4 linked regions of the Macaca fascicularis genome follow. The protein of the gene in region 3 purifies or fractionates together with the protein of the main gene of each other region. This does not show direct contact. Links are inferred from orthologs where the notes say so. Each region holds a gene or a part of one and is shown on either strand. Other genes may lie near its edges. The genes, in order: AKAP8, PRKACB, PRKAR2A and AKAP9.

Evidence for each region.
Region 1: the proteins of PRKAR2A (region 3) and AKAP8 purify together in Homo sapiens (affinity purification with western blotting; 3 studies listed by BioGRID and IntAct, with this or other methods). This does not show direct contact. The link is inferred for Macaca fascicularis from reciprocal best matches to the Homo sapiens genes PRKAR2A and AKAP8.
Region 2: the proteins of PRKAR2A (region 3) and PRKACB purify together in Homo sapiens (affinity purification with mass spectrometry; 6 studies listed by BioGRID and IntAct, counting the BioPlex papers as one, with this or other methods). This does not show direct contact. The link is inferred for Macaca fascicularis from reciprocal best matches to the Homo sapiens genes PRKAR2A and PRKACB.
Region 4: the proteins of PRKAR2A (region 3) and AKAP9 purify together in Homo sapiens (affinity purification with western blotting; 3 studies listed by BioGRID, with this or other methods). This does not show direct contact. The link is inferred for Macaca fascicularis from reciprocal best matches to the Homo sapiens genes PRKAR2A and AKAP9.

The regions. Positions count from the first base shown.
Region 1 is NC_088393.1:15,792,418-15,799,777, forward strand, and holds the start of AKAP8 (A-kinase anchor protein 8), read right to left. Parts: upstream 4,833-7,360; 5' UTR 4,779-4,832; coding exon 4,760-4,778; intron 4,518-4,759; exon of another isoform or gene 4,335-4,517; intron 4,325-4,334; exon of another isoform or gene 4,073-4,324; intron 2,382-4,072; coding exon 2,343-2,381; intron 325-2,342; coding exon 292-324; intron 1-291. Other genes in the region: AKAP8L (A-kinase anchor protein 8-like), read right to left, coding at 5,171-5,464, 5,552-5,647. UniProt on the Homo sapiens protein: Anchoring protein that mediates the subcellular compartmentation of cAMP-dependent protein kinase (PKA type II).
Region 2 is NC_088375.1:150,558,106-150,565,747, forward strand, and holds the start of PRKACB (cAMP-dependent protein kinase catalytic subunit beta), read right to left. Parts: upstream 3,977-7,642; 5' UTR 3,689-3,976; coding exon of another isoform or gene 3,643-3,688; intron 1-3,642. UniProt on the Homo sapiens protein: Mediates cAMP-dependent signaling triggered by receptor binding to GPCRs.
Region 3 is NC_088376.1:111,736,548-111,743,434, forward strand, and holds part of PRKAR2A (cAMP-dependent protein kinase type II-alpha regulatory subunit), read right to left. Parts: intron 1,754-6,887; coding exon 1,652-1,753; intron 1,479-1,651; coding exon 1,404-1,478; intron 1-1,403. UniProt on the Homo sapiens protein: Regulatory subunit of the cAMP-dependent protein kinases involved in cAMP signaling in cells. Type II regulatory chains mediate membrane association by binding to anchoring proteins, including the MAP2 kinase.
Region 4 is NC_088377.1:129,246,452-129,253,338, reverse strand, and holds part of AKAP9 (A-kinase anchor protein 9), read left to right. Parts: intron 1-388; coding exon 389-589; intron 590-2,043; coding exon 2,044-2,276; intron 2,277-4,722; coding exon 4,723-4,808; intron 4,809-6,347; coding exon 6,348-6,477; intron 6,478-6,887. UniProt on the Homo sapiens protein: Scaffolding protein that assembles several protein kinases and phosphatases on the centrosome and Golgi apparatus. Required to maintain the integrity of the Golgi apparatus. Required for microtubule nucleation at the cis-side of the Golgi apparatus.

The sequences.
Region 1 (7,360 bases), on a different chromosome or scaffold from region 3:
TGGGAACAGCAGTTCCGGCTGCTGACAGGCCCCATAAAGGACCGCTGCTGCCAGAGCACAGTCCCAGTCCTCCCCATCATGCTTCCCTGAAGCTGCCCACCACAGCCGTCTGCAGCCGCCCCAGCCCACCAACCGCTCCGTATTCACAACAGCAGCCCGGGCTGACTGTGTCCTCAGGAACAGAGCCAGGAAGTCCACGCCAAACCTCCCTGATGGGCTGAACCTACTTGGCCTTCAGATCAGAGGCCCACTCGCCCACCCACAGACCCCCCCCGGCACAGAAGGGCTTACCTTGCCAGCTGGCCACACCAGTTCCATATGCACCTTAGGGGAAACAAAAACACACAAGAGCCCTGTTTGCAGAACGAAGGCACTGACACCCCAGCTGTCACCCCGCTCCACCCTCCACAGTCCCAGGGCCAGGGCTTCCCTCTGCAGCGCTCAGGGAGGCACCCTTGGGTGTTCTTAGCTCACTCAACTCCTACAGAGCACTAGGCTGAGCACAAGCCAGCCTTCTCCCGTGCAAGGCCAACTTCCCGTCAGGGCAAGGGAAGGGATGCTGCACGCTCCCCAGGAAGCTCGTCTACTGTGGGCTGCTGGCCAAGAGGTTGGCCGGGTCAGGCCCCAGGCAGAGTCCTCGTAAAGGGCCAGTTCCCACCAGAAGCCAGAGTGCAGGCGCTGCCAACTGCACAGCTAGGCATTGGTGCAAAGTCACGTCCTCAACTCAAGCGAGCAAGAGGACGTTATGTGCCTCGAGCGACTTCGAAGGCCTCCCCCTGAAACACCGGGGGGTGGTGGCTCGAAAAGCAGCCCCACTCCCCATATTGCTAGAGACAGATCTCAGACTCAGAACACAAAGGAAGCCCTCGTGCCCTGGAACACGGGCTGGCAGAAAGCAGAAAACCTTGCCAGCAGAGAGCACACAACGGCCCCCCAAACAAGCCTAGCATCGTGACCCTGACTCTAGAGTGGGGATCTGCAAAAAGTCAGGCCACACGGAGCCCACTGCCCACCTTGGCACAGCCCTTGTGATTTTCGAATTTCAGTGCTCATAAGTAAGTACCAGCACACTGCCTGTAGCCCTGTGTTCTCAGGCTCTGCCCTCAGCGAAGGGTGAATTTTACGTTTTTAAATGGTTGGGGTAAAGCTTCTAAGGTATATTCAATGACAAATTTTGACATGAAATATATCACTGACACATTGGGTCAAAACTCAGAGACTATGCAAATTAAGAAAAACTATGAGCTATAGTGAATAATATCACATAAACACTGAAACACTGGCTAATTAATTGTAACAAATGCATCACACTAATGCAAGATTTTTTTTTTTTTTTTTGGAGACAGGGTCTTGCTCTGTCACCCAGGCTGGAGTGCAGTGGCTCACAGCTCACTGCAGCCTTGACCTCCTGGGCTCAAGCAATCTTTCTACCTCAGCCTTCTGAGTGGCTGGGATTACAGGCACGCACTGCCACGCCCTACTAATTTTTTATTACTAGGATAAAAGGATCACTTGAGCTTGGGTCTCGAACTCCCAGGCTCAAGTGAGCCTCTTGCCTCAGCCTCCCAAACTGCTGGGATTACAGACATGAGCTGCCTCACCCAGCTAATGAAAGATCTTACTAATGAGGCTGGGTGTGGTGGCTCACACCTGTAATCCCAGCACTTTGGGAGGCCAAGGAGGGCTGATCACGAGGTCAGGAGTTCGAGACCAGCTTGGTCAACATCGTGAAACCCTATCTCTACTAAAAATACAAAAATTAGCTGGGCGCGGTGGTGGGTGCCTGTAATACCAGCTACTCAGGAGACTGAGGCTGCAGTGAGCCGAGATCACACTCCTGCACTCTAGCCTGGGCAACAGAGCAAGACTCCGTCTCAAAAGAAAAAAAAAATCGTACTAATGAGAGACACTACACCTGAGTAGAGATATGTGGGCCTATGAAACTCTACTACTAAATCTAAAGCTGTGCTAAAAATCTGTTAATTATAGAGAAAAAACACCTTGGATATACCCTCAGCTATTTACTCAGAATAAAAATATTTTGCCAAAATAGAGGATTTAATAACACACAAAAATTATGATCTTCGAATTATATTGTCTATAAGTAACTATTGGCATTGTCCCATCCACTCTTTCACACATTTATGACTGCTTTCCTGCTACAGAGACTGTGGAGCTCATAAAGCCACAAAGATATTCACCATCTGATCCTTTACACAAAGTTTGTTGACCCCCGCTACCACCTCCCTTGACCCTGGTGACCATCAGGTTCAGCTCTGCCATGTTAGGGCCTTGAATGTAGGGGAAGCCCACGCCTCACCCGCAAAGCAGAGCCCACTTACCCTGGGTGTTGGCAGGTCCAGCACTCCATGCCCCATAGCCTGCAAGAAGACCCCCGTGAGTTAAGATTCTATTTGTCACACCAGAGAACGGGTCCTTTTAGGGGTACTCCTAAATGGATCTCCTTACAGTTCAGTGTCAGCCTTACAAGAAGGAATACCCCCCCCAACACACAAAAAAGCCACCCCACAGCTGGCTAACGGCATCATCGCATTCCACTTGGCTGAGATCAAAGCAGAAAAAGAAGGGTGGGAAGTGGGCTTGGAGGTCAGCTCCGCCTGCAGAGGGACCTTGGCCAAGTACCTCACCCCTCCAAGAGTCCATCCACAACTGAGGCTAACACAAGACAATCCATTCAGCATGAGGACACATTCCCCCACCCACCACACAGCCAGGAAACCAGTTCCGACTACTATCACAAGTACCCTGTAACTGAGAACAAGCATGGGAATTTGGTGACATAAACTGCATCTCTCTAAGCCGCACTTCCTATCACTTTTAAGCCCTCCACGGATCCCCTGGACCTTTAAGTCCCAGGGCCTTGGCCTGGCCCTAAGGCATCAGACTGCACTCTTCGACCCTCCCAACACCCCCCACCCACTATGGGATCTGTCTGGTCCCTCCAGGAAGGAGGATGGGAACTGTGTTCTCTTCATTTCTGTGTCCCTGGGGCCCAGCACTCAGCTGCGCGCGGGTGGCCACCATGCCTGTTAAATGACTTCACTTTGATGAGGCAGGAACATACCCATGTCTCCCTCACCAGAACAAGCCCCGCCGCTAAGTGCCTAGTGTGTGCCGATACACTGCAAGCACCCAGCAAACCCTGTTGTCCCGAAGGCCATTCAGAGACAAGGGAGCTAGGCTCATGGGTTACGAGACTTGACCCAGTCATAACCGCTGAGTTTTGCCCTCTGCTATGCTATGCCTTCCCCTCCGTCATACCGCAAAGCCTTCTAAATTTGCATCCGTGCAACAGAAAGGCAGACTGCAGATTCTAACAGCAAGTAACCAACCTCGAGAGGCCGCTTCCCTGTGAAGCTCTAGTGTAAGCAGCACGCATTATTAACCTTAAAACGCTCCCCGAAACACAAGAAATCGGGGAAGCTGAACTATCTCCACTGTGTCTGAAAGGTTTTCGGGAGGTAGGAAAAGGGGATTTAAAAAACCTCTCCAAACTAAGACTGAAAAAGACAATACCGGCAGAAAAGATCTGATGGGAAGGAAAGGACAGAATGGTGAAATCTACCCAGGCTGTGGCAGACCAGGAGAGCCTTCGCTAGGACCCGGAAGACACCAAAGCACACCGCGCACGCTGCCGCCTCAGGACCGACCGCTCTCCTGTCTCTGCAATTTCTGGTGATAGGATAATTTTGCCCTGCCACTTCTCAAGATCGACAACTTCTTGAGCTCCTGCAGCCAGGATCAGACCACTAGCTTCTCTACACCCAGTCGAGCTCCACCCAGCGTGTCCCAACTATCCCCTGTGGGCAAACTTGGCTCCCAGAAGGCTCTGATTCCAGAGCCGGGGAGCAGGAAGCTCGAGAAAATCGGCCCTACTGCAGGCCAAGCGCTAAAGCCAAGCGGGGAAAGGACACGTTCCCTCTTGCACAACCCCTTGGCCCCTCCAAGCCACCGCAACGCACTGCCTACATGAGAATGGCCAATCTGTCACCAGCCCCAGGGCACAATCAGGTTTCCAGCTTTATACAAACACTCAGCATCTGCCCCTCACCATCCTGTCCCACGCCAGCACGCGCCGGCTACAGAGCTGGAGCCCAGCGAGGCTGACTCCCGCGCCGGCCGCACTCGGCCTCAATACGCAGCACCGGGGATTAAAGGCCCGACCCCGCGCAGCCCGACGGCTTCCGGGACAGGCGCCCTGGGCCTTGGGAGCCCAGCAGAGGCCCCAACCGGCCCCGAAGGCCTAGGGCAGGTCAGGAGAGGCGGCCCCAGCGGTCCACCCGTGGCCCCAGACCCAGCGCCCGGAGCCCGACCTCAGGACCCCACGCTGTAGCTCCGCCCCCTAGCGCCGCCATTTTGTGGCGTCTTCGGAAGAGGAAGCCGGGAGTGCAAACCCCGGGGTCGCCGGGGGCCGGAAGGGCCCCGCCGAAGGTGAGGGACAGAAACGGCCCGCACAGCCCAAGGCGCCCCCCATGAAGCCCACCGCGGCGTCTGCCCCAACCCCGAGTCCCGCCCGCCTCTTCGGGCCCTGGCGGCCAATCCGCACGCAGCGCCCCGGGAGCGACGGCGCCAAAGCCCAATGAGCGGCGCGCGCGCGCGCTCTGGCCGCCTCTCTGCAGGGCCCGGCTGCGGCAACCACACTCCGGACGAAGGCCCGGCCCGCGGCCGTCTGCGCAGCGGCTGCGTGGCTCGCACTCAGCCTTCGCTCCCTACTCTGCACCCAGCAGCCTACACAAACCTCCGTAGCCCTGGTCCATGTCTTCAACGCGGCCCACCAGCAGCCCCTTTTACTAGGAGACCACAGCACGCATGCGTTCAACGCACCTCCGCCGTCGACTACTGGAAGACTAGGCGCACACGTCACTACTTCCGCGCGCTCCCATTGGCTGGCATTCACGAGGGTCCGCCCTCACCGTCCCAGCTAGCCTTTCGGGCTGCGAAGCTCCACCTCCGCAGCCTGTCGGGAGTTGTGGTCCCGCAGCGGTGCCCGAGGGCCCGGCCCGCGCGAATGCGCGCCCCGCCTCTCGGCCCGCGCCCCGCCCGGCCCGCGCGGCACCATAACAGAGAAACCGGGAGGTGGGATGGGAAAACTTTATTAGGTTTGGCTTCCAGCTTCGGCCACGCGGGCCCCGCCCGCCCCGAGCTCGGGTCACGGGACGCCCCCGCCGCCCTCCTCGTCGTCCTCAACGTCGAGGCCCGGGATGCCGCGGATCTGGCGTTGCAGCGCCCCTCCCAGCAAGGGCACGGCGCCCTCCTCCTCCTCCTCTGGGGGCGGCGGCGGTGGCGGCGACACGGCGCCGGGGGCTGGCTCTGGGGGCACGGGAGGCTGCGCCGGCGCGCCCTCTGCACCCTCCGAGACCCCTGCCGCTTCGCCCTGTGCCCCCTCGTCCAGGGCACCGCCCTCAGCCTCCTCCTCGGGGCTGTCGGTGAAAGGGTTCTCGCCCTGTGGGGAGGGGCGCGGACACTGAAGTGAGGGAGCACAGGCAGGGACTGAGGTGGGGACAAGCCCAGGCCAGGACCAGCGCCTCACCTTCAGGTAGCGCTCCAGCTTCTTGCTGATGAGCTTGTTGTTGAGAATACTGCGGGCCACCATGAGCGAGGACTTCTTGGACTGCTCCATCATGAGCTGCGGGCAGGGCAGAAGGGGCTGGAGAGGCTGCTCTGAGTGCCCTACAAGTTCCCGCCCCGACCCTGCCAGTTTAGAGGGACGCCCCCCTGCCCCTCCACCCACGCTTCCACCCGCTTCCACCCGGAGCGCAGCCCCACCAACGGAGGGCCACTCTACAAGCATGGAACCACAACCTATCTGATCTTTGTTCAAATTCCTTCTCCTTCCACACCACACTTACTGTAGGTAATTAAAAATACAGATCTATAGATCTCTATATATCTTTACGGCTGTATTACAGAAATCTGATTTGCTTACAAAAAAGCTATAAGCAGTGAACAAATTAAGAAACTAAGAGCCAAAGGTGCAACCCATAACAAGGTGCCAACTAGGCTAATAGGCAAGGAGCACTTTGGGACCAACGGGGAGGGTATAAAAGCAGGAACAGATATTTAATCAAACATGTCTTTTTAACCCACAGAATTCCAAGAATGAAGAATTATTCCCAGTCATGCAAGGTTGAAGAGACACTTCTATGCTGCTGGGAGGATCAACTGTTTCCATATTTTTTGGAAAGCAGTTTGACAGAATGTATGAAAAGTAAAAATCTGTTTCATTAATCCCTTCCCAGAACCTATCCTAAATTTAAGAATTGGAAACATACGTGCACACTGATTGTAGTGGTGAAAAATGGGAAAACACCTAAACGTTCCTCAGTGCAGAAAAGGTTAAATAAATTGTACATTCAAAAGAACGTCATGCAGCCCTTCAAATCGGGCTCATCTCTCCAATGGCAAAAGAAAGGTGTATAATATAGTACTGTCTGCAAAGCATGCCAGAGCCATTTTGTCTGGAAGGATTTCCGTCAGTATGCGGGGCCATTTCCTCATGGTGGGAGTACAGGCAAATCTCACTTTGATCATTATAAAAACCGTAAGCTAAAAGGAGGATATTTTTGGCGGGGTGGGAGAGCCCACTGAGTCCCGCCCACTCCATTTACATGTTTCAGAAAGCCTTCTCACTTGCTGCTTCTACTCTCTCCATCTTCATTTTTTTTTTCCTTAGCACGTTTTCTCTACTACTGGAGGAAAATATTAACAGACATCATACATGCTCATAACAAACTAAAGATACACAATTAGGATGCTACTATAGACCGTTCCTCAGTGACTCTTTCTCACTTGCCAACACTTTATCCTCCTAGCTCTGGATGCCCAGATGACCACACCATAAATTCTCCCAACTGAGGCACATTTATATTGCTTCCACATTTTCTCCACAATAACCCAGCAACACCAGAATAAACCTGTACACTTCCATGCTGGTGCTTTTAATTCTAACCAGGTTTGGTTTCAAAGTGATAGTGCCCAATTAACTGCAAAACATTTCCAAGTCATGCTGCTTCCACCTGTGTTAAAAACAGTGACCTGGTCCTCCTGCCTGCCCATCAGCACTGGATGTTGTCACTGTGGGGTATTTTTGCTGTGGATGAAAGACAGAAGAATCTGTGCTGCTGCTTCCCACGGCATTTCCCTGTCCACCGGCAACTGAGTGCTCTGGTAAGCACACTGGACCACCCGCCCAGAGTCTGTAGTTTTCTAACTATTTTCTCATCTTGGTTTTATTTTTCACATTTAAATTTTCTTTTTTTTTTTTTTTTAGACAGTCTCGCTCTGTCACCCAAGCTGGAGTGCAGGGGCTCTCAGCTCACTGCAACCTCCGCCTCCTGGG
Region 2 (7,642 bases), on a different chromosome or scaffold from region 3:
TTTTTGTTGAACCTAGTCTACTGGTGGCTTTCTATGATTAATTCCTATTGACTTTCAAATCCATAGGACAGAGAAATACTCTGGAAAACATTCAAAGATCATATGTGAACACTAGGTCATATGGTAACTTAATGACTTGCAGTCATGAAAGAATCTACATTCAAATCTCTACCAACACTTTTCACTCATGGGCCTCAACATTTTTGCAATGAATGTATAACACAAAGCCCAATAGGCAACCTGGAGGTATAGTATTTTTTTTAAATGAAATAAATAAAAACCCCTCCCAGGTTAAAAGAAGTAGTGTGCTTTTTTGGTGTGTTGGTGACTGGGGCTGGTGTAAAAGGTAAAAGACTGGATAAGTAAAACAAACTTAACTGACAAGAGTTTAAACCTTCTCTGAGAATTTTATCATATTTCTAAAATTTATGTTTCTCTGTATTAGCTGATGTTTAAATAACTACATCCAAATTTTAAAAGGGATATATCTTCAAGAGTAATTTTAAAAACACACACTATCATATACTATTATGTATATAATAGCGCCAGTTATTCTTTCATTAAGTTTTGAGATACATCAATACAATTTCCTAATTCACTACAGCAGAACAACAGGTACCTAAGTTAATGTTATCTCCAAAACCTGTGGAGATGAAGATGGAATCTCACTTAGCCTTTAGGTCTTACCCCAGAAAATGTTAATTCTAATAGAGGGACCAGTTTCAGTAGAGTATAATACAGGCACCAGATAGTCAAAGTTAACCAAGACCCTTCTAAATTATCTTTATGCCTAACTTCAACTTCATTCTTCTGGAATATTTTTAGAACTAAGCTCTGGAATCACCTGCCTTTCTGAAGCTTGGTGCTAACTGAACCTGAAATCTTAACTGACTTGATATTTTTAATCAACTTTTCAAATCAAACATTTTCATACAGCAATTTTCAGAGTTCTAATTCCACTTTCCATAATGTTAGCACTTGTATTTTTGCCTTTCAGGTAACTCTTATATATATGAGTTACCCATTAGACAGTAACATGTTTTAGCTTTTACTTATAGTCTCTAATTGAAACTAAAACATTTGGTGAATATTTTGAAAATAAATGTATTAACTGATTATTCAGTGATGCTGAATGGAGTGCAGGCATCAGACTCTATTCCTTACTCGGTTATTACTAACAGTATGATCTCAACTCCAGCTTCTTCAGAGATCAGGATCTTTGAAAAGGAATGATTGTACAGGCTGATCTGTAACATCATATATTTCTAAAAGTTTTGAAAAACAAATTTTCAAGAATAATTCTTTAAAAAAATACACAGAACAGTTAGGTATGTAATGATAAGAGTTCTTTCATTAAGTTTAAAATACAATTTCTTTGTTTACTACAGAACAGCAACATATACCTGATAACATTGCTCCAAATGAAATTACAAACATTAATCAACACATGACATTTCAAATAATTTTCCCTATGACACATAACACGCTATTTTTTTTTTTTGGTCACTTCACAACAGCTTTTTAAACTATTATAATGACCTTGTTTCCATAAACAAAGTTACACAAAAAGCTGACTAATAAGTACTAGACTGTCATTAACACTTAAAACATAGGAAAGAATTTATTCATGGAAATAATTTAAATATGTTCAGATAAACATTTGAAGTTTCCATTCTGTTTTCAGTAAATATTCTGAGGTTATTTCACAGCTATGAGTTGCAAATTAATACTGTCTAAGGGAGAATTGTTTTGATAACTTAATAAAAAATATACAGGTCACAGGAGAGTCTACTATCATTATCCAAAATATAAACATTATACAGGTCAGCACTTGCTAATGAAAACTACTAATAGGATCATTCTCCAAACACTCTTTTGTAACACAATTAGCACGTTTTAAGTTTATACAGTTTTAAATTAACACGAAAAATGACAACATATAAGGTACAAATAATTCTTTACGCTTTTTGCATTTTTTATACTTCCTGTACAGTTAGTTACTATATTTCCGCAATTTTAAAAAGATAACAAAGGCCGGGCACGTTGGCTCACGCCTGTAATCCCAGCACTTTGGGAGGCCGAGGTGGGTGGATTACCTGAGGTCAGGAGTTCGAGACCAGCCTGGCCAACATGGTGAAACTCCGTCTCTACTAAAAATACAAAAATTAGCCGGGTGTGGTGGTGGACGCCTGTAATCCCAGCTACTCGGGAGGCTGAGGCAGGAGAATCGCTTGAACCCAGGAAGCGGAGGTTGCAGTGAGCCAAGATTGCACTATTGCACTCCAGCCTGGGCAACAAGAACGAAACTCCATCTCAAAAATAAATAAATAAAATAACATACATTCTACCTCTACAATGGTTTCTTTAGATCTCTGTATGACATACTGTGTGTTCTTAAATAGTTTATATAATAGCTCATCAAACTTTTCTGGAGCTCCCAAAAATTGATACCAAAACCTTACTGATGAAACATAAACCATATAATCTGATCTATTTATGTTAAACCAAATGAATGACTAAATCCTTCTAAATGAATTCTACTTTACTAATACAGAAAAAAAAGCTATTTCCTTCATGCTAAATTATAAAATTAGCCTAATTCTTATGTTACAACCATGAAAACATTACAAGTAATATTTACACAAACTAAAATTATCAGGCCCACTTTAAGTGCTAACATGTCATTCACTACTGGTGATGTAACAAATATCATCTGTTATTCGGCCATTCTGAATTATAAAAATATATAAACTTTACAAAGGCAAACCCAAGTTTTATTTCACGACCATTCTGACTGACACATATATACACACATATATATGCATGTGTATACATGCATACACAAACACACAGACACACACACACACCTCACAGCCATACAGAAATTCCATTTTCATGATATTTTACTTTTTGATGTAAAGTGTGGAGTACCCGCACCTTCAGCTCTCAGAAGAAATTAACCGTGTTCTGGAAGCACTTCCACTCCGAATGACCTTTAAGTTTTACAGGCATTGCAGCAGATCCTAGAATGTCTAGAGAAAAGGCAAACCTGCCTGGCTTTTTTCTCTAATGGATAAAGTTGCTGTTTGGTCTCATTATGTTTTCCATTCCTAATCTGAAGAGATGAAGGATCTCTAAGGCAGAGTTGTTCACTCAGGATTAGCCTCACTTGCGTAGAGCCAGACTAGCAGCCCCCGCCTTGTGATAAGGTTGGGTTGGACCCAAGTGATGGAGGGAGAAGAGCCAACCTTACCCACAGCACCACTACCTGTAGCTCCCAAAGAGTCGGCGAGAGGGGAAAGCAGGGGTGGGATGGCACTGGGGACTTCTTTCCTCGGACCATATTTGGGGAAGTGTTCCAGAATGTGTGCAAGTCCTCCTCGCTAGAGTGAAAAAGGGAATCCCAGGGAACGCTCTTCCCAGGATCCCCACATCCGGCCCTTCGCACTCAGCCCTCAACACGGAGCTGGGGGGTCGGAATGGAGGAGGAAGGCAGCTGGTCCCCCGGCCCCCCAGAACGACTCCCGGCGGCCGCTACTAGGCCTGGCCCGTGCCCGCGGCCTCAGGAGCTGCGACCCGGAGGGGCCTCGGTGCCCCGCGCCGGCCCGCCCAGCGGATACCCAGACCCGGCCTTCAACTCACCGCTCTCCACCTCGCTGCCTTTCTTGGCGGTCGCCGCGTTGCCCATGTCTGGGGCGATGGCAAGAAGGGGTCAGGGAGGGGAAGGGGGGCTGGGGCCGTGCCCGCCACTCCACAGTCTGGGGCAACTCCCGCTTCTGCACCCGTCAAAGCGGTGAGTGCGCCTAGCGCTGGCGCCCGGAGTCCGGGCAGGGAGACCGGGCCGGGTCTGAGGAAAGGGTTCCAGCGAACTCCTCAGCACCGGTAGCTGCGGCTGCTGCGGCGGCGGCGGCGGCGGCGGCAGCAGTAGCGGCGGCGGGCAGACACTCCCCCTTCGCGCGGCCCGCCCTCCCCGCGCGCCCCCGGGCAGCCGCGCGCCCGGGCTAGGCCCTGGCCCGACTGTGTCTTCGCGCGCGGGTGCGCGCGCCGGAAGTGACGTCGCCCGGGACCCCGGGGGCGGGCGGTGGACCCTTAGCTGGCCGAGCCCAGGGTTGGGGCCTGAGGTTCCGCTGACCGCCTCCTCCGCCGCGGTATCCCGGTCTAGTGCTCGGATGCCCATCGCTGAGATAGTGGGAGGTGGAGTGGGAACCGCTAGCTTTGCGGACGGCAGAGTCCCTCCTCAGCCTGGCGTTCCCAGTGCCCTGGAGTGGAGTCGCGGGATACCGTTCAGCGGCTCGGGTGGTTTTCCTTGTGTCCCGCCACGCGGCGGCTCCTCACTCAAAGACTGCCTTTTCCTCACAGCGCCAGGTCCGAAAAAGAGCCGCACCTTCGGGTTGGAGATCGCGCGCAAGGGTGGTCTCTGGGTCTGCATCTGCCCGGCATCGGCAGTAGGAAAAGCCTGGTCCCTAGTCACGGTCGTAGTTCGAGCCTTTCATTCCCTCGCACATTGAGGTATTCGCTGAGCCCACCGCGTTGTCCTCGGGGATAGTAGGCTCCAGTCACAAGCCCTATGTTTTCAGACTTCCCAGGTGGAGATAAAGGAAAATTTTACTATTTCTGCACAACTTCTGTTGATGTACAGCATTGTATTTAGCAACTTCCGTGTAGATCTGAAAATAAATACATTCCCAATTGTTAGTTGCGTTTTTATTAATATAAATCTTAGAATACTTGATTTTGCTGTTAGCTTTACTTAGGTAAATTATATGGCACTCTAGCATTTTTGTGGTTCCATTGAACTTTGCTCTGTGTTTTCCACTTATTACAAAGTCAAAATAGACTGTAACTTCCCAAATTATTCTATGTTCCCAAGGCACCAGGCATAGTAGGTGTTTTACGAATACCTGTTGACTTGAAATTTCTCAGGCTTTTAAAAAAATTTTCATTACTGACAAAAAATGGAGCGATAAGATTATTAGTAAACTTCCTATTATCACCAATTCTGTTAATGTATACTGCATTACAACTTCTATACGAATAGTAACTCATTTGCTCCTCATAAGAACCCTATGAGAGATGTGGTTTTACTGTCATCATTTTAGTTACGAGCAAATTAAGGCACAAAGAAGTGACTTACCGAGATTACACAGCTATTATCTGGTGGAAGCAGGATTTGAACCCAGGCAATTGGGCTCCAAAAATCTGATCCTTTGTCTCTTAATGTTGACCAAAAACTTGTGGATGTTGTGGTAAATTGCTTTCTCTCCATTTGAAATCCCATTGACTTGAAGTGATAGATGCATAGTGAGTATACGTCTCAAGGAAATGTATTATATTGTTTTCTGGGTTTCAATTCAAATAAAATAAAAATAGTGAAGCAAGGATTTGGACTAGATGATGTGAGGTTTTGTGTCGGCATACAACAGTGTCACAACAATGTCATCTCCAATCCCATTTAGTTTTGTGTTGTGGCTGTTATTTTGCCCCACATACATAGAAAGTTCAATAAATAGCACTGAACCACATGTATACCAATTAAAGACAACTTTTGATATTCTGTATTCTAGAGGGAATCTTTCTAGTATCATAGAATATTCATACTACTGTCATTGGGGTGAGTTTTAAATGTAACCTTTTTAAATAAATCCGCTTTAATGATAAAAGAGTGGTCGTGTGCATAATTTGGCACTTTAACATAATTTTGAATTCTAGGTCTCTAATAAGAGGGCTACCATTTACATAGTAAATCATTAATTTACAAAGGAGACATTTGAGAGCTATTACAAAAATGGATACAATATAACTATACCTGAAAAATTAATAAGTAAAGCAAAAAATTCAGCTTTACAAATTGTCTCCCCTTCTTTCTCAATTTAACTTTATTATTGGTTAAGGAAATAAGTTCTTAATGATAGAGAAAAAGTGATCAGCAATTTAAAATTTCTTGCTATTTTTCTTTTTTCTTTATACCACTTTTTTCTGCTTCTTATATTAGCTTACTGCTGCTCTGGTTTAAGGAAGATTATATTTTAAAAGTATAGTTTGGTAAATAGTTTTTAATTAGTTAACATCCATAATCATTTATTTGTAATTACAAACAAGTTGTTTTTCATTATTAGAAGAGTTTTCTATAGAAATTTGTAATTTATGTAGCATCTAAAAGAGTATGTTTTATGAACTGGTTTTCTAACATTCTGGAAGGGGCAGAAATTTCAACTGTCCAGTTATTCGTGAATAATTGGAGGTTCCATGAGGCAATTTCTATCCTTTGCCACCAATGACTGCTGTACCCTAGACAAAAAGAGATGGAACTATGTAATTTTGTTTCCCTAGGAAAGCAGATGCAGTAAGAAGGGACTCATTCAGAGAAAATACTTTTGAGTTCCCTTCCATATAATATTTTTGCTAATCTGAGAACATACAGCATTGTGTAAAAGGGAAAATTATACCAGTGGTATTTGCAAACCTACATAAGCCAGATAACTATCTTAGCCCCATTTTACAAATGAGTGGAACAAGAGCTCAAAGAAGTGAAGTAAGTTGGCCAAGGTCACTCAAGTGGTAAGAGGCAGAGCTCTAGATTATATGCTGTCACTCTGAAACACATAATCTAATCCTCATTAAGATTAGGTTTTTAAATCCGTATTTTGCAGATGAGAAAACTAAGGTTTATGAACAAAGAATCTTGGCACTCTTCTTTCTAGACCACCTCTTAACTCATGAGTGAGAAAAGGGGAGAAAATTAGTAAATATTTTTTCAAATTTATTTTGTAGTTTCTACTTATATTGCCAACTTGATTTCCAAGTTCTTTTAAAGTAAAGCACCCTCAAACACAATGTATGTCGGAAGTACTTGTTTTTCTTAAGAGTGACCAATAATGAAAAACAACTTGTTTGTAATTACAAATAAATGATTGTGGATGTTAACTAATTAAAAACTATTTAGCAAACATACTTTTAAAGTATAATCTTCCTTAAACCAGAGCAGGGGTAAGCTAATTTTGTTTTCATATAATATTTTACATGAAATAAATGCAAGTGAGAATTTAACCACTATAGAATTACAATTTTTTGAATGATAATCATCCACGTTGTCTAATATTTTATTATTGTATAGTATATACCAAATCAAAAGATACCACATGAAATACCAGGCAAAGGGCAAAGTAATATTTCCAAAATGAGGAAGTAATTTTATGGCCAATAAATTACAAGTACGATAAGTGTTTTAAATCATTCTAATACAGTACAAAGTTTTCTTGTTGGGCATAATTCTAATCCTTTTGTTCAATGATGAATTTTTTTTATCTGAGTTTCAGTATTCATCTTTTTGGATATTCCTTTACAGATAGGAAAACTAAAACAATTGACTCTTGTTGAGTAACCAGAATATTAACAAAATATGTCCTAGTGCCAAAGTGGAATTATAGCTTCTGTCTTTCACAGAGGAACTGGGATACAAACTGAAAGCTTTAAGGAAACATATATATATATATATATATATATATATATATATATAGGAGTGTGAGGGGCCACAAAACCAACTTTTTTTCTTAACATGAAATTATCTCTCTCAGAAAAGTTGATGTTTGTTTGGGATATTCTAATTGTACTAGTGTATTTCTCAAAACTATGCCCAAATCTC
Region 3 (6,887 bases):
TTTGCTCTGAAGGACCTTCCCCTGATTTCAAACATTGTAATTGCACTTGTTTTTTAAGCCCATCTCAAATGGCAATTCCTTGATGAAACCGTATGTATTACTTCCATTTCTATGTTCTCACTGTCATTCATACACTCCTTCATTATAGTGCTTATCATATCTGGTCCTACCTATCTTAATAAATGTTTATAGAATATATCAATTTCTAATTAAAAGAATTATTAATAGTAAGGGCTCCTAGAAAACAAATACATTCAGAGATGTGACTCAGAGTAGACATCATATTTTTGTTAGTCCTTTATCTCTTCCAGGGGAGCTTTCTTTTCCCCTTTTATGGTAAGTCTGATTAGTCCTTGTGGTTCTAGTGGGGCCAACTCCACCCACAGGACCCACGCCTGACCAATCTGAGCCTTTCCTCCTCGTGGTCTCAGTACTGGGTTCAAGGATAAGCATATCACCCAACCTAGGCCAACCATGTATCTTCTCAGTGCTCTTGAGCCAGAACCATAGGCAGAGAAGCTGATACCTGGAAAAGTCCAATACTATTTATGTTTTATTAAAAATACAAACACAGTGGATAAAGAAAATTATTAGACAGTACTCATTACAATGATCTAGCCCACTGTTTAGTAATCCTTACTGTATCCCAAAATAACATGAGAAAAATGCACAAAGGAAATACCAGACATCTTACAAATTTGGTTAATCACTGAAGACTGTGGACTCTGATTTGTGTTAGATTAGCCAAAAGGATGCCTTTGTGTCAAATATAGAAAGTTAGAGGGCAGAACTCTTTAACCTTCCCCAGGTTCTAATAGCAATGGATGAAACTTACTCAAGGTCAAAAGAAAATGACATCCAAAGAACAAACACTAGAAGCCAAGGAAAGGTGAGCGGAAGCAAGTGATCTGCATGTGTCAGTAAGACGGACATCAATAAGCTTCAGGGGACTATATAATTGTCCTCTGAAGTGTGATCTATTACCTGGTAATAAGAGCTCCCAACAGTGGGAGAACATAGAAGTTTTTTTTTTTTTTTTTAATTTGAAATGGAGTCTCACTCTGTTGCCCAGGCTGGAGGCAGTGGTGCAATCTCGACTCACTGCAACCTCCGCCTCCTGGGTTCAAGCAATTCTCCTGCCTCAGCCTCCCGAGTGGCTGGGATTACAGGCGTGGGCCACCACACCCAGCTAATTTTAGTATTTTTAGTAGAGACGGAGTTTCACCATGTTGGCCAGGCTGGTCTCGAACTCCTGGTCTCAAGCGATCCACCTCCCTCAGCCTCCCGAAGTGTTGGGATTACAGGCGTCAGCCACTATGTCTGGCAAGATTTTTGAGATAAATGATGTACTAGTTATTCAGGGGTGACTTCCAGGAAAGGAGCTGTGTAAAGCCCTCACTCACCTGAGTGATTATGCGTTCTCCATCCTTATAGATCTTCTCTCCTATTACATCCACTATCTTCATTCGTTCTGACACCTGAAACAACAGACAAATTCAGAAATAAAAGGAAAAGATCTTAACTGAAAGTCACAATAGCTATACAACACAGAAATGGGATTAGAATAGTATGATTTGAACACCTAACAACAGAATAGTTTTAAAAGCTTTTCCTGATCCCCATGAACAGATTCTCATTCAAGCCACTTTACCTCTAGCGATTTAAGGAGGGGCACAGACTCAATAAATGATTCAAACATCTTCCTCTTTTTTGCATTATTTTTCACTATGATTCTTCTAAAAGTCACCCGGTCCTACAAGAAAGAATATGAAAATTCTAATAAATGCCTATATACAGGAACATCTATGGTTTAATAAACTGGCCAAAGCAAATATTAGAGGAATATGTAAGTTACTGTGTTAATTAAGTGTTAATTGATACTTTAATCTTGAGTCATCAATGGAAGAAAAGAACCTGTAGCCTGAGCCAGCCAGTTGCCCACATGCTGTTGTTTGCTATCTAACACTCAATAGGTGCCACCTATGGGTCATAAATAGAACACAAAACAGAAAACGCCTAAACATTTGTGAGCTCACTGTCACTGTTCAATGTCATAAAAGATACCTCTAGTGAGCTGAGATTATGTCACTGCATTCCAGTCTGGGTCACAGAGTGAGACCCTCATTTCAAAAAAAAAAAAAAAAAGACATCTCACCAAAAGAGAGAATAAAACAATCATTTAATCCTTAGAATCCAGAATTTAAAAAAATTTTTTAAATCCAAAACAATTAGATTGTTCTTGCCCTAAAAAAGTTTATAATCTTAATGGGAAGATAACACAAAATATCAAAATATGAAGCTTGGCTGAATGCAGTAGCTCACTGCCTGTACTCCTAGCATTTTGGGAGGCTAAGGTGGGCAAATGGCTTGAGCCTAGGAGTTCGAGACAAGCCTAGGCAACATGGTGAAACACCCGCTCTTCGAAAAAATACACGAAAAAAGTTAGCTGGGCATGGTGGCACATGTCTGTGCTTGGGTGGTTGAGGTGAAAGGCTCACCAGAGCCTGAGAGGTCAAAGCTACAGTGAGTTATTATTGTACCACTGCACTCCAGCCTGGGCAGCAGAGCAAGACTATGTCCCAAAAACAACAATATTAACAACAACAACAACAAAATACATAGGAATAAAAAGTCTACATTTCAAGAATGGGTGCAGTGGCTCACACCTGTAATCCCAGCATTCTGGGAGGCCATAAATGGATCACTTGAGCTCAGGAGTTCAAGACCAGGCTGGGCAACATGGTGAAACCCCATTTCTACAAAAAATACAAAAATCAGCTGGGCACGGTGGTGTGTGCCTATAGTCCCAGCTAGTTGGGAGGCTGAGGCTTGGAGAATCACTTGAGCCCAGGGGGCTAAGGTTGCGGTGAGCCGAGATTGCACCACTGCACTCCAGCCTGGGTGACACAAGTTGAAACCCTGTCTCAAAAAAAAAAAAAAAAAAAAAGTCTATAGTTCAAGACAGGCATATGAGCACATGAAATGTGCTTGGTGAAACTACAGAAGACAAGTGCTACATAAATTTCAAGGTAAGAAGGGGAGATCACGGTAGGCAGGAGTGAACAAAGATTATTTCGCCGCAAAAATGTCTGGGACCTGAAAGAGAGGTAGGATTAAAGTTAATGAAGAGACATGGGAGGAATATGCAAGATGGAAGGCAGGCATATGAAAGATACCTTGACTCTTAACAAGTCATGGATTCCTTTTGTTTTATTTTTCAGATGGGGTCCCCCATTGTTGTCCAGGCTGGCTTTGAACTCCTGGGCTCAAGTGATCTCCCTACCTCAGCCTCCCAAGTAGCTGGGACTACAGGTGCACAACACTGTGCCTGGCTTAGTAAGTAATGGATTCTGATCAGGAGACAATTAACCAAAGCCAGGCACTTCTCAGATATTTGTACACATGTGCAGGGAGATACCCATGAGAATGTTAATTGCTTAGTCTTAGATTCCTAAATGGGCAAGCAGTTATTTGTATCTAAGTTAACTACCTTTCTTCTACCTCAGGCTGTCAGGAATAAATATATATACACACACACACACACACACACACATATATATATATATATATATTTTTTTTTTTTTTGCTAGAAAGTATAACAATGGGCTGGGCACAGCGGCTCATGCCTGTAATCTCAGAACTTTGGGAGGCCAAAGCGGATGGATCACTTGAGGTCAGGAGTTCAAGACCAGCCTGGCCAATATGGTGAAACCCCATGTCTACTAAAAATACAAAAATTAGCCAGGCGTGGTGATGGGCGCCTGTAATCTCAGCTACTCGGGACACTGAGACAGGAGAATCATTTGAACCCGGGAGGCAGAGGCTGCAGTGAGCCAAGATCATGCCACTGCACTCCAGCCTGGGTAACAGGGCGAGACTCTGTCTCGAAAAAAAAATAAAAACAAAACAATATTTTAGGCTGTGTGTGGTGGCTCATGCCTGTAATTTCTGCACTTTGGGAGGCCAAGGCAGGAGGATCGCTTGAGGCTAGGAATTCAAGACCAGCCTGGGCAACACAGGGAGACCTAGTTAAAACACAAAAACAGGCCGGGCACGGTGGCTCATACCTGTAATTCCAGCTCTTTGGGAGGCTGAGGCGGGTGGATCACGAGGTCAGGAGATTGAGACCATCCTGGCTAACATGATGAAACCCTGCTTCTGCTTAAAATACGAAAAATTAGCTGGGCATGGCGGCAGGCACCTGTAGTCCCAGCTACTAGGGAGGCTGAGGCAGGAGAATCGCTTGAACCTGCGAGGCGGAGCTTGTAGTGAGCCAAGATCACAGCACTGCACTCTAGTCTGGGAGACAGAGCGAGACTCGGACTAAAAAAACAAACAAACAAACAAAACCCCACAAAAACAGAAAACCCCAATATTTTATTTATTTATTAAAACAAACAAACAAACAAACAAAAACATACAGGCTGGGAACAGTGGCTCACGACTGTATTCCCAGCACTTTGGGAGGCCGAGGTGGCTGGATTGTTTGAGCCCAGAAGTTTGAGAACAGCCTGGGCAACATGGCGAAACCTGTCTGCACAAAAAATACAAAAATTAGGCAGGCATGGTGGCGTGCACTTGTGGTCCCAGTTACTGGGAGGCAGAGGTGGGAGGATCACTTGAGCCCTGGGAGGCGAAGTTGTAGTGAGGTGTGAGGGCACCACTGCACTCCAGCCTGACCAACAGAGTGAGACTGTCTCAAAAGATAGACAAAAGATAGACAGATAGATAGATAGACACACACACACACCCACACACACACACACAGATAAAACAAAAGGCCTGGCGCAGTGGCTCACACCTATAATCCCAGCATTTTGGGAGGCCAAAGTGGGTGGATCACTTGAGGTCAGGAGTTCGAGACCAGCCTGGCCAACATGGTGAAACCTTGTGTCTATTAAAAATACAAATATTAGCCGGGCATGGTGGTGCACACCTATAGTCCCAGCTACTCGGGAGGCTGAGGCACGAGAATTACTTGAACCCTGGAGGCAGAGGATACAGTGAGCTGAGATCACACCACTGTATTCCAGCCTGGGTGACAGAGACTCTGTCTCAAAATAAATAAATAAATAAAAATTAAAAAATAAACACACAGAGGGCAGCAAAGTTAACTCCCAATATTTTATAAATCTACTTATATGTGTTACAAAGATTAGTATAACTGCAATAGCAAACAATATTTCGGCCAGGCACGGTGGCTCACGCCTGTAATCCCAGCACTTTGGGAGGCTGAGGTGGGTGGATCACTTGAAGTCAGGAGTTCGAAACCACCCTGGCCAACACAGTGAATTCCCATCTCTACCAAAAATATAAAAAATTAGCCAGTATTGGGCCGGGCGCGGTGGCTCACGCCTGTAATCCCAACACTTTGGGAGGCCGAGACGGGCGGATCACAAGGTCAGGAGATCGAGACCATCCTGGCTAACACGGTGAAACCCCGTCTCTACTAAAAGTACAAAAAAAACTAGCCAGGCGAGGTGGCGGGCGCCTGTAGTCCCAGCTACTCGGGAGGCTGAGGTTGGAGAATGGCGTAAACCCAGGAGGCGGAGCTTGTAGTGAGCCGAGTTCGCGCCACTGCACCCCAGCCTGGGTGACAGAGCAAAGACTCCGTCTCAAAAAAAAAAAAAAAAAAAAAAAAAAAAAAATTAGCCAGTATTGTTGGCACATGCCTATAATCCCAGCTATGCGGGAGGCTGAGGCAGGAGAATCGCTTGAACCCGGGAGGCGGAGGTTGCAGTGAGCCGAGATCATGCCACTGTAGACTCCAGCCTGGGCGACAGAGCAAGAGTCCATCTCAAAAACAACAACAACAACAACAACAAAGTTCTAACTAAAGAGAAAACAACAAATATCTCTTAAAGCGACTTTTTTTTTTTTTTTTTGAGATGGAGTTTCGTTCTTGTTGCCCAGGTTGGAGTGCAATGGTGCAATCTTGGCTCACGGCAACCTCCGCCTCCCAGGTTCAAAAGATTCTCCTGCCTCGGCCTCTGGAGTAGCTGGGATTACAGGCATCGCCACCATGCCCAGCTACTTTTGTATTTTTTAATAGAGACAGGGTTTCTCCATGTTTGTCAGGCTGGTCTCGAACTCCCGACCTCAGGTGATCCACCCGCCTTGGCCTTCAAAGTGCTGGGATTACAGGCATGAGCCACTACACCCGGCAAGTGACTTTTTTTTTTGAGAGAGAGTCTCACACTGTCACTCCGCAGGCTGGAGTGCAGTGGCATGATCACAGCTCACTGTAGCCTTGACCTCTTGGGCTCAGGTGATCCTCCCACCTCAACGTCCCAAATAGCTGGGACTACAGGCATGTGCCGCCACATCAGCTAATTTCCTGTTTTTCGTAGAGACAGGGTTTCACCATGTTGCCCACGCTGGTCTTGAATTCCTAGGCTCATGTGATTTGCCCACCGTGGCCTCCCAAATTACTGAGATTACAGGCATGAGTCACCACACTCAGCTGGTTCTAACTCTTTTTATGCATGCTTTAACACTTCCCAAAACTCTCTTTTCATGTGGTGCAAATTCAGTTCCTATGGCTGTGGAGAATATAAAAAAGCACCAGACATCAACATAGCCTTTGAGAAGCATCCAATCGAGCACTGAAGAGGAAATTCCCACAGGCAGCAAGTGCTCAGAGGCAAGCAAACAGCCCTGAAGTTCAAAAGAGAAAAGGAGTGCTACTCTCTCCAGTGACTGCAGGAATTTCCCAGGAAACCTTCTACTGACTTTCAATAAAGCAAGAGAAAGCAGAAGAGACTAAGTACAGGGGCCATGATGGCAGCTGCCCACTATAAAAGCAGGAATGTAGGATCCAACTTGGAAAACTCAGTGACGACACCAGATCCTCCCTACTTCCACCTCAGAAGGCATTTCCAAGGCCT
Region 4 (6,887 bases), on a different chromosome or scaffold from region 3:
AAATCCACTTATTATGTACATACTGGCTTGTTTTTTTCCCACTTCTCCAATACACTATTTCAGGCACAGGCTCAAAATTTGGACCCAAATGGTCTGTTAGGTCTCTTGATGTTTTTAGTTCAAAGCTCTGCTAATCTGCTAAACCTTCCCTGTGGCCAGGCTTTCTCAAGGACTTTTAGTTGTAAAACTAATGTATTTAGCAAAGGACCATGTACTTAGAGTTAGTGTATATGCATAATGTCAATTAAGATTGGCTTTGAACTTTGTCTAGGTGGGGTCAGAAAGTTGAGACTGCACCATCATTGAGCTATCTTTAATATGTTTAGCTCAGACTTTTCTTCAGAGACTTGTTCTTAAAAATCATGTAAGTAGTCTGTGGTCTTTGCAGTCTTCCAGGTTTTCATTGAATGGTGGTGCCAACATTGAAGCCATCATTGCCTCTGAAAAAGAGGTATGGAACAGAGAAAAATTGACTCTCCAGAAATCTTTGAAAAGGGCAGAGGCTGAAGTATACAAACTGAAAGCTGAACTAAGAAATGACTCTTTACTTCAAACTCTAAGCCCTGATTCTGAACATGTCACTTTAAAGGTAGGAGACATCTCCCATCTAAACATCACAGTTTGTTCTATGTTTTTGCCTTCTTTCATCTCTCACTGACCTTAAATAAATAGACTAAAGAAATTTAGGCCCAGGCACGGTGGCTCACGCCTGTAATCCCAGCACTTTGGGAGGCCAAGATGCGCGGATCACGAGGTCAGGAGATTAAAACTATCCTGGCTAACATGGTGAAACCCGTCTCTACCAAAAATACAAAAACAAAAAAAATTAGCCGGGTGTGGTGGTGGGCGCCTGTAGTCCCAGCTACTCAGGAGGCTGAGGCAGGAGAATGACATGAACCTGGGAGGCAGAGCTTGCAGTGAGCCGAGATTGCGCCACTGCACTCCAGCCTGGGTGACAGAGTGAGACTCCATCTCAAAAAAAAAAAAAAAATAGATGGTATTCAGGTTTTGTCTCTAGGTCTCTTTATTCAGTCTTTGTCATGAATGCAGGTCACAGAGGTTTGTGGAAAGGCATGCCCAGGACTGGGACCAGATTAACCTCTATTAATGGTCACAGTGACAGCATCCTGGGCTCGTGGTTCCACTTTCCCTGGTTTCGTCCCTAATAGACCAAAAGAATGTTATATGTAAGAGCATCATACTCTGTAAAATGGTAAGCCCTCTGAAAGCCTCCCTAGTGACTAATAATGAATGTTGTTAAAACTACCTTAATCAGTCAACATAAAATTCAAAACATAAAGAAAAACTTTTGGAACATTTATTCCAGTTTATGACTCTGAAGGGATAGAAAACATTAACATTTAAAAAGTTAGATTAGGCCAGGCACGGTGGCTCACACCTGTAATCCCAGCACTTTGGGAGGCCGAGGTGGGTGGATTACTGAGGTCAGGAGTTTGAGATCAGCCTGGCCAACATGGTGAAATCCCATCTGTACTAGAAATACAAAAACTAGCCAGGCATGGTGGTGGGTGCCTGTAATCCCACCTACTTAGGAGGCTGAGGTAGGAGAATTGCTTGAACCCGGGAGACAGAGGTTGCAGTGAGCCGAGATCACGCCACTGCACTCTAGCCTGGGTGAGAGAGTGAGACTCCATCTCATAAATAAATACATTAGTGACCCTAATGAAAATAGCTCTGTACAATTAAAAAAAGAAAAAAAAAAAAGATGAAATTGGGATGACAAAAATATTTGCAATTAATATTATTAATGAGGGCTAAATCCTAAAAGAAGAAGTCTAACTATTACTATTCAGACTCCATTGACTAAAAGAGGCAAAAGTGTAAAGCTTAGTTAATTTATCTTAAATTTCACCTTTGCTGATAAAGTAGAAAACAGTGATAGGATACCTGCCATTTTATTACTACTACTGTTACTACAATACTACTACTACTGCTACTTGTTAAAATCTAGGTTATTTTCCCCTGGAGAGCAGGTTGAATGTTTTCTTAATGTCTTTATGTTCTTCTCTTCCTTAAATATAGAGAATTTATGGCAAATACTTGAGGGCAGAAAGTTTTCGAAAGGCTCTCATTTACCAGAAGAAATATCTGCTGCTGTTACTGGGTGGGTTCCAGGAATGTGAAGATGCCACTTTGGCCCTGCTTGCCCGGATGGGGGGGCAGCCAGCTTTCACGGATCTAGAGGTGATCACCAATCGCCCAAAGGGCTTCACCAGGTTTCGGTCGGCCGTCAGAGTATCCATTGCAATTTCCAGGTGAAGAACTTGAAGGAAAATGCATTTTACTAATAGACTCTCTAAAAGGATTAGTTCTTTTTAATTCTCCCTCTATTCTTTTCTGGTTATACTCTATATTTGTATAGTAGGCGGTATGTGCCATCACTGAAGCATGTCTGCTTTGTTTTTCTAGGTTTTCATTGAGCAGGAATAGTGGCAGGGTATGTGTAGACTATGAAAAGGGCCTTCCTAGGTCCAGGAAGCTGGTGACTCAGAGCTGGCCTATCCAGTCAGGGTTGCCTTTTAGAAAACAATCTGGACCAGGCACAGTGCCTCATGCCTGTAATCCCAGCACTTTGGGAAGCCAAGGCGGGCAAATCACAAGGTCAGAAGATCAAGACCAGCCTGGCCAACGTGGTAAAACCCTGTCTCTACTAAAAAAACAAAAAATTAGCTGGGCGTAGTGGCAGGTGCCTATAGACCCAGCTACTCAGAGTGAGACTCTGTCAAAAAAAAGAAAAAGAAAAAGGCCGGGTGTGGTGGCTCACATCTGTAATTCCAGCACTTTGGGAGGCCAAGGCAGGCGGATCACAAGGTCAGGAGATCGAGACCATTGTGGCTATGCTGAAACCTCATCTCTACTAAAAATACAAAAAAAATTAGCCAGGCATGGTGGCGGGCGCCTATAGTCCCAGCTACTTGGGAGGCTGAGGCAGGACAATGGCGTGAACCCAGGAGGCGGAGCTTGCAGTGAGCCAAGATCGTACCACTGTACTCCAACCTGGGCGACAGAAGGAGACTCCATCTCAAAAAAAAAAAAAAATCTGAATAAGCCCATGAACAAGCTCACACATGTAAAAAAAAGATTATAACATTTAAAAATGTGCTTGACAAATTACTTCTTAGGCTGGCATACATTCATTTTCTTCATTGCTAAGATAACCCAGTTTTGGTGCCCAGCTATGGAAGGTCCTTTCCTAACTGCATTCAAGTCAGAGGTTAGCCTTTAGGGCATTGGATTTTTGCTAGTGCTTTTGTTGTTCTTTCTCTAGTAATCCCAAGCAAAGAACTCTGGTATTCATTCTGTCTGTGATTGACATGCAGCCAAGACTCAAACTACTTTGAGGACCTGGCCCACTACATTCTTCTGACCTGGTTATATGCATACAAACACCAAGGCTTCTCCATGCATCCCCCTCCCTTTTAGGAGGCAGACAGATCTTAAAGGAATTTTGCTTTTTAAAGTTCTTTCTGTCAGGTCACATCTGATGCTTCTTTAAGGAGTTTTACCCTTTTTTTCTTATTTATTTTTCTCTAAAAATATGGCACAATTTTTTAATTGGAAGCTGTCTGAGATCACCTGGTCTAGAATCTCATTCCACACTTGAAGAAACTGAGGCAGGGAGAGGTTACAAAGCCAGTAGTGATAGAGCTGGGACAACCAGCTCAGTCTCCCCAGTCTCATTCATGCTGGCTCTGGAAACAGGAACACAGGTTTTATCTTAGTGTGGGCCTCAGACCCTCCTTGCTTCTGATATTCCATATTGTAGTCTCCTGGTTTCATTTACTCTTTCTCACCTTTCATTTCCTTCATCCCCTTGTATAGAGTTAAACCAGGGTAAGTGCTGGTAGATGCATTGATGAAAAAATAATAATTCCTGCCTAAATACCTAAAGGCAGCTCACTTTCTAGTGGGGAAGACTAATATGCACAGAACTTAGAATATAATAAATAAATGGGAGGTCACAGGAGTTAGCTAGTAATTTTGATTAGAGGGATCTAGAGAGGCTTCATGAAAGCAATGTAGAAGTTGTTATTGACAAACTTCACTCTGCCCTGCTTTTTCTTATCCAAGATTATGTTTATCATATTTTGACCCTCCTAAGACGGAGCCTTGGAACTGATTCAAAATAAATCAAAACTGGTGCTCCAAAAGCTCCTTGGGCCATAATGGGGCAGGTGGTAACTTGCTGCACCTGGTTCATGAAGCTAACACTCCCATTCCTTTTGAAACCAACATTTTTTGTCCCTAATCAAAGGGACAAGAGCCTCACCCACCTTGCAGCATTCCCAGCACATTCTTATTGCCAATTTAAGGGTCTTTTTGTTCACTTCTTATTTCATCTGCCCTTTATTCTCTATTCTCTTTTCATTACTTCTCACCCTTTCTTTGCCTACTTTTCCCATCTACTTTTGCCTTCCATCTCCTTGTACCCCATTTATCCCTCAAGCCAGAACCTGATGCTGACAGTATAAGAGACCTGTAATGCCTCTTGGGAAGGGGATAAGGGGATCTTGAATCCCTATTCCTCTGTTCCAGTTGATTTTGTCACAATGGGCATTGACATAGTTTAATTGGGCAATCGTGAAATTTGACATATGTTCTATGTTCATATTTAAATGTATGATGTGATTTTTGTAGGAAGTATACATACTGTTTACATTATAGATGTGCTGTGAAATTTTATCTTGGAATCTTTTTTAGAATGAAATTTTTGGTTCGACGGTGGCATCGAGTCACAGGTTCTGGTTCCATCAATATTAACAGAGATGGCTTTGGACTGAATCAAGGTGAAGTCAAAATAGCATATTTTCTTATGTTTATGACTCTCTAAATCAGAGGTCCCCCACCCCCAGGCTATGGACCCATACTTGTCTGTGGCCTGTTAGGAACCAGGCCGCACAGCAGCAGGTGAGTGGCGGGGACTACTGCCCGAGCTCCACCTCCTGGCAGATCAGCCGTGGCATTAGATTCTCACAGGAGCACAGACCTTATTGTGAACTGCACATGTGAGGAATCTAGGTTGTGTGTTCCTTATGAGAATCTAACTAATGCCTGATGATCTGGGGTGGAACAGTTTCATCCAGAAACCATTCCGGCCCCTCTGGGTCCATGGAAAAATTGTCTTCCATGAAATGCGTCCCTGGTGCCAAAAAGGTTAGGGACTGCTGCTCTGAATTACTGCATGTGTAATACTTACCAAATAATGAATTCTGGAAACAATGTTTTCCAAAGACAAAGCCCTTATAACTGCCAAAACTAGGTAACTTCACTGTTTTTTAAAGAGGATAATAATAGCTGATTTTCATGGAGAACTTAGTCTGCACCGGGCTGTGCTCTTTTCATGTATTCTCCCAATCCTGTGATAGAAATACAGTTGTTACTATTCTCACTTTTAGATGAAAAACCGAGGCATGGAAAACACATGTCATTTGCCCCAGAATGGCCAGTAGGGAAGTGATGGAATCAGGACCAAACACTGGCAGTCTGGCTCCAGAGCCCATACTCTTCATAACTGCATTTAAGGCACTGGTTCAAGACAGGATTGCTGTTAGTCATATGGAATAATTATGAAGTTTTCATAATTTAACAATATTCAAACAGGTTTCTGAGTTTACCAAGAGGTTGTATAATAATGGTAACAGCTAAAATTCCTTCTCTCTACACCTAGAAGTGGAAACAAACTAGGGCTTGAACATTTCTGGCAATAAAGATGAGGTCCAAATCTGGGGAGCACACAGAGGTACAGAGGACACAGCATCCCTGTGCTGTGTATTCACAGTAAACCACCTTCACATCCTCTACCAGGAGCTGAGCATCCGAGAGAGGGGAAATAGCTTTGGTACCCTACACAAAGTATTTTGAAATATCATTACACTGAAACAGCTGAAATTTGTACCATAATAAGTTGTGTTTTATTAAAAGTTAGCAAATCTTGATTTTAAGTCAATAGAATGGAATGTTTACATAGTCTAATATTTTTTATCCACATCATTTCCCACAAACCACACATACTCAGACACCCCTCACCTCTCATCTACTTAGAGCTAAGGTCTTTAAAAAAGAAAGTATGCCAATTAAATAATTTTCTTTGAGACATAATTCCAGGTATCAGAAATACTCATATTCAAAAGTAAACAAAATAACATTTGAAAGCCAAATTTTTGTTTGCACTGTTTCTCCTTTAGCAAGAATAGTAAGAAATGACTATAAATAGGAGATGGTATAATATAGTATAATAGTCTTTTGAGCAGTTATCTATTTTGTAGAAATTTTTTAAGGGCTTGGGTTTTATTTTTCTTTACAAGGAATATTTTGGGTTACTTTAGGTGCAGAAAAGACTGACTCATTTTTTCATTCTTCTGGTGGGCTGGAGCTATATGGAGAACCAAGACACACAACGTATCGCTCAAGATCAGATCTGGACTATATTAGGTCCCCTTTACCATTTCAGAATAGGTAAGAATTTGAGAAAACCTGCCTGGAATTGTTAAATGTATTCATATTTAACAGAGAAAAATGGACATTTTTAGGGCTTTGACTTCTTTGCATTGAGACAGACATCTTTGTTATATGTAATTTACATAATCTGACCAGGCATGGTGGCTCACATCTATAATCCCAGCACTTTGGGAGGCTGAGGTGGGCAGATCATGAGGTCAGGAGTTCAAGACCAGCTGGTTTGAGACCAGCCTGGCCAACATGGTGAAACCCTGTCTCTACTTAAAATACAAAAAAATTAGCCGGGCATGGTGGTGGGTGCTTGTTATCCCAGCTACTGGGGAGGCTGAGGCAGGAGAATCGCTTGAACTCAAGAGGCAAAGGTTGCAGTGAGCTGAGATTGCACCACTGCACTCTAGCCTGGGCAA